Coturnix japonica: one gene and its partner. The protein of the gene in region 1 purifies or fractionates together with the protein of each later gene. This does not show direct contact. Links are inferred from orthologs where the notes say so. Each region holds a gene or a part of one and is shown in the gene's direction. Other genes may lie near its edges.

Region 1 (4,264 bases):
CTTAGGTTTAAGGAGTTGTTATTAGGTTTAAGATGTTGTTATTTCTCTCACAGAAAAATAACAGTGTGTGGGTATTTGATGCTTTCATGTGCTCTGGCCCTGGCCAGGCCCAGAAGGACAAGGCAGGGACAGGGCTGGAGGCAGCTGTGGGACTGTGTGCCAGGTCACGGCCTGTCTGGAAGGGGACCAAGGACAGACGTCAGAGGAGGTGTGTGTGTGTGTGTGTGTGTGGGAGGGTGAGCTGCAGGGTTGTGGAGACCAAGGGAAAATGGCCTGTTTCCAATGGGGAGCCTGCTGCTGGCTGCACTGTGGGCATTGTGCCATGACACCTGCAGTGATGGCCCTAACTGCAGGCTGTGCTTTGGCACTGCTGCCTCACATTGACAAGGGCATGGCTGTCCTGTCAGGGCACCCAGCTGGGTCTGCCTCACACGGCAGCATCACTTTCCCTTTTACACAGTGCTGTGCTGCCCAGTATGGGGCAAGCTACGCTGTGGCACACCATTAATAGGAGTCTGGCCTTGTCCAATTGCCTCTTGCACTTGAGATATCTCTCTCAGCCTTCTCTTTGATTGAGACAGGGCAGGTTTAGGTTGGATTAGGTTGGGTTTTGCACCCAGAGGGTGGTGACGCACTGAACATGTTGCCTAAGGAGGCTGTGGATGCCCCATCCCTGCAGGCATTCAAGGCCAGGCTGGATGTGGCTCTGTGCAGCCTGGGCTGCTGGTTGGTGACCCTGCACACAGCAGGGGGTTGGAACCAGATGTTTCCTCACACAGGCAGCACTCCACGCTCCTTAGGGGCGGCCTTTAACAAGCGGCGCTCTGACCCTCGCACCCCCCAACGTTGCAGCCGTTCCTCCGCTCCTCCAGGCGGCGCTCGGGGCGCCCATCTCGCGAGAGCGGCCGTTCGTGTCCCGACAGCGGCGGTGCTGAGCGCGGAGCGGGGCGCGGGCAGCGCACGGTGAGTGCGGGCTGCGGGCCGGGGGTCGGTGCGCTGCGGGGACTGGGGGCTGCGCCGTGCCGGGACTGCGGTTCGGAACGGGATTTCTGTTGTTCATCGAGCTGTATGTTGTTCATTGAGCCCTTCCCCCCCCCAACAGCGGCTCCTCCGGCTCCCACGCCCTCGCTGTGCGCCCCGTGTGAGGACGGGGCGGAGCGGGGCCTGGCCGCCTCGATAAGACGCGGAGCTGCCCGGCCCAGCCCCGGGGAGCGCCTCGGTACCTGCTGCCCCTCGGTACCTGCTGCCCCTCGGTACCTGCTGCTGCTGCTGCCCCTCGGTACCTGCTGCTGCCCCCCGGTCCGCCCGCTGAGGTATTTCGGGGCCGCTGTGAGGCAGGGACGGGCGTCCTGAGCGGCTGCGTTGTTGACTGAAGGGGCTGAGGAAAAGGAAACGAGCGATCCGGCTCGTTCCGTAACGCTGCGTGCATTTGGCTGTTGATTCCTGACGAGGCAGAACAGCCATTTTGCGAGAGCCGGAGGGCGGCGTTTGCTGCTCTTTGTGGAGGGCACGGCGGTGTGGTTCTTATGTAAGGAATACGGTCTGTGATCTATTCGTATTGCTTTGTATATGTGGCAGCTTTGGGTATAGCCGTGTCACTGCCTTTTTGCTTGGTTTTCTCTGACTTTCATACTAACGTTTCCAGATGGCTTCTGAGAGGTTGCACTCCTGCAGGCTGTATATCAGGGAGTTGAGTTTGAGTCCTGGTTATAACCTAACCCAGGGCTTGAGGGTGGTTGATTTTAAGGCAAAAAAGGGAGAATCTAAAGGATGTTCTAAGGAGTACGTTAGCAAGGTGAAGGGTGTGAAACCTTGTAGAGCAGCAGCTGTGAATGAGCCAGGCTGTGTCAGTACAAGGATAGAATTGCAGCCTTGCCAGGCTGGTCTTGCCTTCCCCATCAGCTCTGCAGAGCCTTGCCCAGATCAGCTCCCAGCTGCTGCAGTTTGCTGGCTAGACAGAAATGCAGGGGCACGTGAGCAGCAGGGAGGATTGCCTCAGCTCCTGCGGTTGAGCCTGTTGGCAAATATCTGTTGGTTTTCCTGTGGTTGCATAAATTCCTTGTGCCAAAGCACCCCGGAGTCTGCTGTTGCTCTCAGAGAAAGCTTCAGCTCTGCTCACAGAACTCAGTCGCTGTGGGGTCTCAGGCTTTGTTGTTGCATTTAATAGTGAAGCAACATCGATGGCTCTTCCCTTCCTCTTTCCTTAAGGAAGAACGGAAGCTTCTAAGTGTTTTTTTTCCTTGTGCTTTAGGAACACGCTGAGAATGAGTCTGCCACAAGACAGAAATAGAAGTTCTTGCAGCAGCGAGACGCTGGCAAAGTGCCTTCAGGCGAGGAAGGACTTGGAAACAGCTATCTCTGGAATTGTCAAAGCCGAGCAGCAGATTAAAGAGAACTGGCGAGAGGTAATTCTTCATTCGTTAACGATGCATTAATAACTAGTCTGACTTCACTGGCAGTTTAAATAATTCCAGAGTACTTTCTGTTGGGAGGGTGATCTGAAGGTTTCCAATAGATGGGCAAGTCTCTTGGCCTGTAATTTAGGCATGCTTTAGGTGAGGTTGTTTTGTACTTCTAGCCCAGGCATGTGGCATTTTCTAAAGCTTCTGGCTGAAGCATCTGAGTAAAGGGATGTTGTGAATAACGTTGTTATTTGATCATCTTTAGAGGCAGCTTGGAAACTTGCACTGACTTGTGAGTCATGTGGCGTTGTGGGTTACTGTGGTTTAGAGCTTGAGGAATAAATTGGTACAAAAATACCACTTGTGCCTGAGAAATAGAGTTTTGTAACCTGCCCAGCATGTGCTTGTTGGTACCATCTGACAGATATAACAGCAATGAATAATGCTATAATGCTGCCTTGCAGGTTAAAGCCAAGATTCACAGCCATATCAGCCGCCAGCTGGAATGCCTGCGCAGCCGTGAGGTGTGGCTGTTTGAGCAGGTAGATCTCATCCAGCAGCTGAAGGAGGAGGCGCTGCAGCAGCAAGCTCAGCAGCTCTACTGGGTAAGAGGTGGTTGCACTGGGATTTTAAAATGAACTGCATCTTTGTAGTTATCTTGGTTTTAACTTGAGAAGCCCAAACAATAATGAGTGTTTTGTCTTCCACACAGTTCTTGGGACAGTTCAATTGCCTTATTCATCAGCTGGAACACTCCTACAACAACGAACTAGCGAACCAGATTTCAGTTTGCCTGGAGAGGTAAATATTGATTACAATGCGAGCTAATACAGTCGGTAATTTATTTTGACTTAGAAATTTAACCCTATTTGTGATTCTAGAAGAACTAATAATTAACCTGAATCACCATTTCTGTGTTTTAATAGTTCATAGTTGAGAGTCTTTAAGCACTTTGAAGTATGATTCCTCTCATCTGCACCTTAGATTGGTAAAAAACAAAGCAAGACCATAGAAAGGAGTAGGTGTGCTCATTTGTGCACATCACTTCAGATTTTCATTTGAAGTAAGAAGGAAGAAGTTGTGCTTTGCTGGTTTCTTTGCTTTAGGTTGTGAATTTACATCTCCTTGTTTTTGTACAAGCAGTAAAAATGTTTTGTTTTTGTTAATCAGTGCCAAGGCAGCTGTACAGGTGTAGAAGTTAAAAACATAAGGCTGTAACTCTCATCTTGCTCCTTCAGACTGGAAAGTCTCACTCTTAAACCAGAGGAGTCTTCTGTCCTGAATTTTGAGGCTGACACATCGTACCTTCGCCAGGCCATTACCTCATTTGGTTCAATTAAAACAATGGTAAGCACAGAGGCTTTACTGGGTTGTAGTACTTAAAGTCTTAAATACTTAAATAACTTTTGTGGACAGGTCCCATAGTTCTACTCATTCAATATTTAGACAGTAGTTTATTAATTACTGCTCTGATTTTGGCTGAGCTTAGTTCTAGTTACATATTATGTTACTTTGGTTGTGTTCATACTCTTTTCCAGCAAAAACTAATGTTGATTGTGAGAATCTAAAGGAAATCTTACATTGTGGGAAGGTATCTCTGCTGTAGAATTATTTTGGGGTTCTTATGTAAGCAGCGTATCTCGTGTATTATTGGAGATCACTCTCTTAAAGGCAGTGGAATGGAACTAGTCTTTTTGTAGCAAGTCTTTATTGTGTTCTGAATAATGAAAATCATTGGCTGTTAAGAGTGGATCAGTTGTGACTGCACTTTGCTTCTGAGTCTTAGAAACTGAAAACAATGGAGATTTAACCTGAACTGTACTTCTCTCTTTTTCTAGCAAACCTCAGAGAGAGAGATAACT
Region 2 (4,182 bases), on another chromosome or scaffold:
CAGAAAGTAGTGTGCAAAGCATTGCTGGGTGCAGAAGATGAGCTTGTTGGTTAACAGATGTGAATGTCATTTGATGTGAAGCCTGGACAGAGCACGATAATGCTTCTGCCAGGCTGCTTCCTGAGCATGCCCATAACTGCACTCCTGGAGGATGAAAGAGGGCTTAAAACAAGCCAAAGGAAAACATGATGGAACAAAGTTAAAGCGCTGTGATGGTAGTTTGAGACAGAGAAGTTTTGGTTATAGCTAAACCTGAACACTTTCAGACAAGAGTGAGAGACAGGCCTTCTGTTTGTCCCCAAGACGCCGTGATGCATGGCCTTGCAGCCCTATGTTTCCTATTCTGACCAAGCAAAATCTGCTGCTGTCGATGTTGATGTGTGTGTTTGTGCAACTTGCCATTGATCTAAAAAAGCAGAATTTACTGCTTCCCTTATCTTACTGACATTTGATCACGGGTGGCACAGACTGTTCAAACTACAGAGGACGCATTCCTGTTATTAATAGGGTATTTGCTCAGTTCCTTATGAATTGTGCTGTTGCGCAGCCTTTCATGAAACACCGTAATGAGGATTTATGCGTGCTTGGTCACAATGAGACTGGAAAAAAACAACAAGCAATGGTTTGCAATCTAGAAGCTGCTGGGAAATCGTTTGGAAGTAGGTTCAAGGTTAGCCCTTCTGGAGTACTGAGCTGTGCTCTGCCATCGGCTGGCAGTATAGAGGCCTACCTGATCATAAAGCTATAAAGGGGTTTGTGCTTTGAGAGGACAACTCCAGCCAAAAGCAAGGGTTCAGCTTCCAGCTGCTGAAAATACCACACTATGTAAACAATAATGCAACTCTGCCCAGCGGTTACAACTTTCTTCCTTTCTTCCTTTACATAAGCATTAGCGTGGGAGGCGAACAGGAGAATTCAAATGTAGCTGGCAGCCTGAGAAGCAAGAGGCACCATCCACCTTAACTTCACGATCTTAATGACTCCTGACTGTTAACCGACAGGAAAGCCGTGAGACAAAGGAAGGCATCGGCTGCCCGATTCTTTCAGACACCCAGCTAAAAAAGCAAACACACCCCTATGCATCACCCGGGGGCAATCACAGCTTCAAAGACCATAGTAAACTTTGCAGAACGGGGCATGTCTGAGGAAAAATGAAGCCAACCAGAGCTTGTAGGCTCAGTGATTCACATTGCCATTGCTTGGAGTGCTCCTGATAAATGTCAGCGTTTTCTAATGGTACATTAGAAAGGTGATGGCACAGCAGCAGGAGGCCATGCTTGGCGTCTCTATGTGTGCACACGGTTCCTTTGTCCATTGCCCTGCTGCTCCATGGTCCCTTTAGGCTTCTCCCATCTCTGACCCATCGCCCCCCGGTCCCGCCCGCATTGGAAGTGCCGCCCCCCGCTCGGGTGCTGAGTCACGGCGGCCCGGCCGGCGCCCGGCGGGCAGCGCACGGAAGCCCCGCCCCGTCCCCCCTCCCCGTGGGGGCGGCGGTATAAAAGGGGCGGAGCGGGGCGGGAGCGCTCAGAGCGCGTCGGCGAGGCTGAGCGGAGCGGGTTCCTGCGTCAACAGTGCTTGGACGGAACCGGCCGCGCTCGGACCCGCCGCCTCCCCCCACCGCCACCGCAGCAGCCGTCGTATCCATCGCATCGATCTCTCTCTATCTCGGCAGCGCCATGGCTACGCCTCCTTCCCAGGTGCGCCAGAACTACCACCAGGACTGCGAAGCCGCCATCAACCGGCAGATCAACCTGGAGCTGTACGCCTCCTACGTGTACCTCAGCATGGTGAGCGCCGGAGCGGGGCGGACAAGGCCTTAGCGGGGGTTGGGGCCCGGTATCTCCGGGGACAGGCCCGGGCAAGGCCCGGCGGGGGGCGGCTCCGGGCGGTGCCTCCCGGCGCAGCCGCGCTCAGTTCCTCCCCCCAGGGGAGGGGGCGGCCCGCGCAGCTCGCTGGATGCAGGGGGGGAGGGAGGCTCTTATCTCCGGGCCGGCCTCGGCCTGGCGTTAACTGCTGTTATCGGCGCGGCTCAGAGCTGCCGGGCGGCGCTGCCCTTGGGGCAGGGCTGGGTAGCGGCGGTTGCCCGATGGAGCGCTTGGCAGCTCTCCCACTGGCGTTCTCTGGAGGCACGGCTCTCGGGTCCCGGTTTTGAAGTGAATTAGGAGGAATCCGTGGCATCCCCGGTTCTGTGCTTGGCACGCAGCTCTCGAGTTGGTGCCCGCAGTTCAGACAGCAGCTCTGACCTCTGCAGGCAGCTTCCTACCTGTATTGTATCGCAGTGTGCTGGTGTAGGATTAAAGTGCTTGCTGCTATGTTACTACGAGGACGTGACCCTCCACTGCAGGCTCTTGGTGATAGTGGTACACAAACACCAGCGTCCTGTGAGCCTCTGAGCTGCTGCTGCTAGAACTCAGAGCTCTGCAGGTTCTTCCCTGGTAGATAACTCACAAATACAAAGATACAAGTAATACACAGATAAAAAGCTTTCTATTCTGCTCTTTATCTTTAAAGGAAAAGGAGTTGTGGGATGGCTTCTAACAGTTGTCACAGATGTGGCTTTCTAGAGCTGTTTATGCTGTTGAATAGGTGTTCTAAATGCAGTTAAGCTTTTTGCTTTTAAATGTAGTACTAAAGGCTTTCTCAGAAGTAGGAAGCATATTGCTGGTCTAACACCTGCTAAATCTGGTGGAGTATGCATGAAAGCGTTATTGAAGAAGTACTTCAGTGTTTCTGCTCACTCTTTACTTACTCTTAGCAGGTGCTACGTTTAGAACTTTGACTTGAGACCATTGTCAATGAATTTGAGTCAATGAAAAGAGTAGGAAACAATCCTGGAAAGCAAGGTGCTCAAGGTGGCAGAGCTTAGAGAGCTTAGTGGTGTGTGGGTTTTCACGTATTCATAAGTGAACCACAAATCCAGCTAGTTGTATTTACTAAGCAGGACATGGATTAAAATCAAGTAAAGCTTAAATATATCAGGGAAAGCTGAACTTTCCATAGAGGGAGGATTTTGGTCATGTTACCCTGCTGCTTGTCGTGCTGCTGGTAACCCCCCTCTTGGGCTCTAGTCTTCTTGAAGGGCTGAGATGTTTGAAGTTACAGCATAAATGTTGCTTTGTGCTGCAGCTAGAGTGAGACTTGAGTTTCTCAGTGCACAAATTCTTATTTTTCAGTCCTACTACTTCGACCGGGATGATGTGGCTCTGAAAAACTTTGCCAAGTACTTCCTGCACCAGTCCCATGAGGAGCGTGAACATGCTGAGAAGCTGATGAAGCTGCAAAATCAGAGAGGTGGGCGCATCTTCTTGCAGGACATCAAGGTGAGCTCTAGGTCTCTGGGTTGTTATGCCTAATGCAGTACTAATCTTAGGGCCTGTCTCCAGGCTGTCTGGGAAGGAATTTCCCTGAGAGGCTTCATGTAGAAAAGCAGCAGCAGCTGCCAGTGGTTGAGCACGTGTTGCTGTTATCTGTGTGTGGTGGCCAGTCTGGGCAAAGTCTAGGTATGCACATTAACTTGCTGACCTACTAGGAGTCACTTCCTCCATAAGAACAGCTGCATATATGTAGCTTATAGTGGTTTTAGAGGGTGGTGGTGGTGGTGCTGGGAATGGTGAACTACAGTGTAAGTGGTTCATTTACGTTGAACTGCATGTGCCTTCTTGGATTTCTACTCTTGTGACTAGAGCTGAGATGACAAAATAGTCTTTTCCCAGTTGTTAATTAGGACTTGCTGCAAGACTTCATGGCATAATTTGCTCCCTTTACTCGTTTTTCCACTGTTTTGATTTACTACTAGCATGTTCAGTTTGATACATAGCAAATCTTTATGGAGAAAACAGTAAGTGATGGTCACTTAAGAAAAATAGTTTTCAGCTTCCCTGTTTGGATATCTTAAACAGTTTGGTTTTCTTTGAGGTTGTACCTATGCAATCTCATGTTCACTCAATCCCCTCAATCCTCCCCTACTGCGATGGGGGGAACATTAGAGAAGGGATTTTTAGAGGCTGAGACAAAAGGGAGTTGACAGGACAGAAATGGAAGGAAATATAAGGGATATACTAAAGAAGTGATGTGTGGTGCAGTTGCTGGCTGGTGTTCAGCTAATCTCAAGGTGGCAGCCCACCCCTAGCAAACTCCCCCAGCTTTATTATTCAGCCTGATACCATATGGCATGGGCAATCT

The links. Proteins that work in one complex are often made in the same cells at the same time.
Region 2: the proteins of NCOA4 (region 1) and FTH1 purify together in Homo sapiens (co-immunoprecipitation; 6 studies listed by BioGRID and IntAct, counting the BioPlex papers as one, with this or other methods). This does not show direct contact. The link is inferred for Coturnix japonica from reciprocal best matches to the Homo sapiens genes NCOA4 and FTH1.

Annotation. Positions count from the first base shown.
Region 1 is NC_029521.1:1,953,557-1,957,820, forward strand, and holds the start of NCOA4 (nuclear receptor coactivator 4), read left to right. Parts: upstream 1-1,464; 5' UTR 1,465-1,526; coding exon 1,527-1,528; intron 1,529-2,251; coding exon 2,252-2,405; intron 2,406-2,866; coding exon 2,867-3,007; intron 3,008-3,114; coding exon 3,115-3,203; intron 3,204-3,640; coding exon 3,641-3,749; intron 3,750-4,240; coding exon 4,241-4,264. Other genes in the region: translation initiation factor IF-2-like, read right to left, coding at 810-1,243, 1,284-1,464. UniProt on the Homo sapiens protein: Cargo receptor for the autophagic turnover of the iron-binding ferritin complex, playing a central role in iron homeostasis. Acts as an adapter for delivery of ferritin to lysosomes and autophagic degradation of ferritin, a process named ferritinophagy.
Region 2 is NC_029520.1:7,909,965-7,914,146, forward strand, and holds the start of FTH1 (ferritin heavy chain), read left to right. Parts: upstream 1-1,382; 5' UTR 1,383-1,676; coding exon 1,677-1,787; intron 1,788-3,173; coding exon 3,174-3,320; intron 3,321-4,182. UniProt on the Homo sapiens protein: Stores iron in a soluble, non-toxic, readily available form. Important for iron homeostasis. Has ferroxidase activity. Iron is taken up in the ferrous form and deposited as ferric hydroxides after oxidation. Also plays a role in delivery of iron to cells.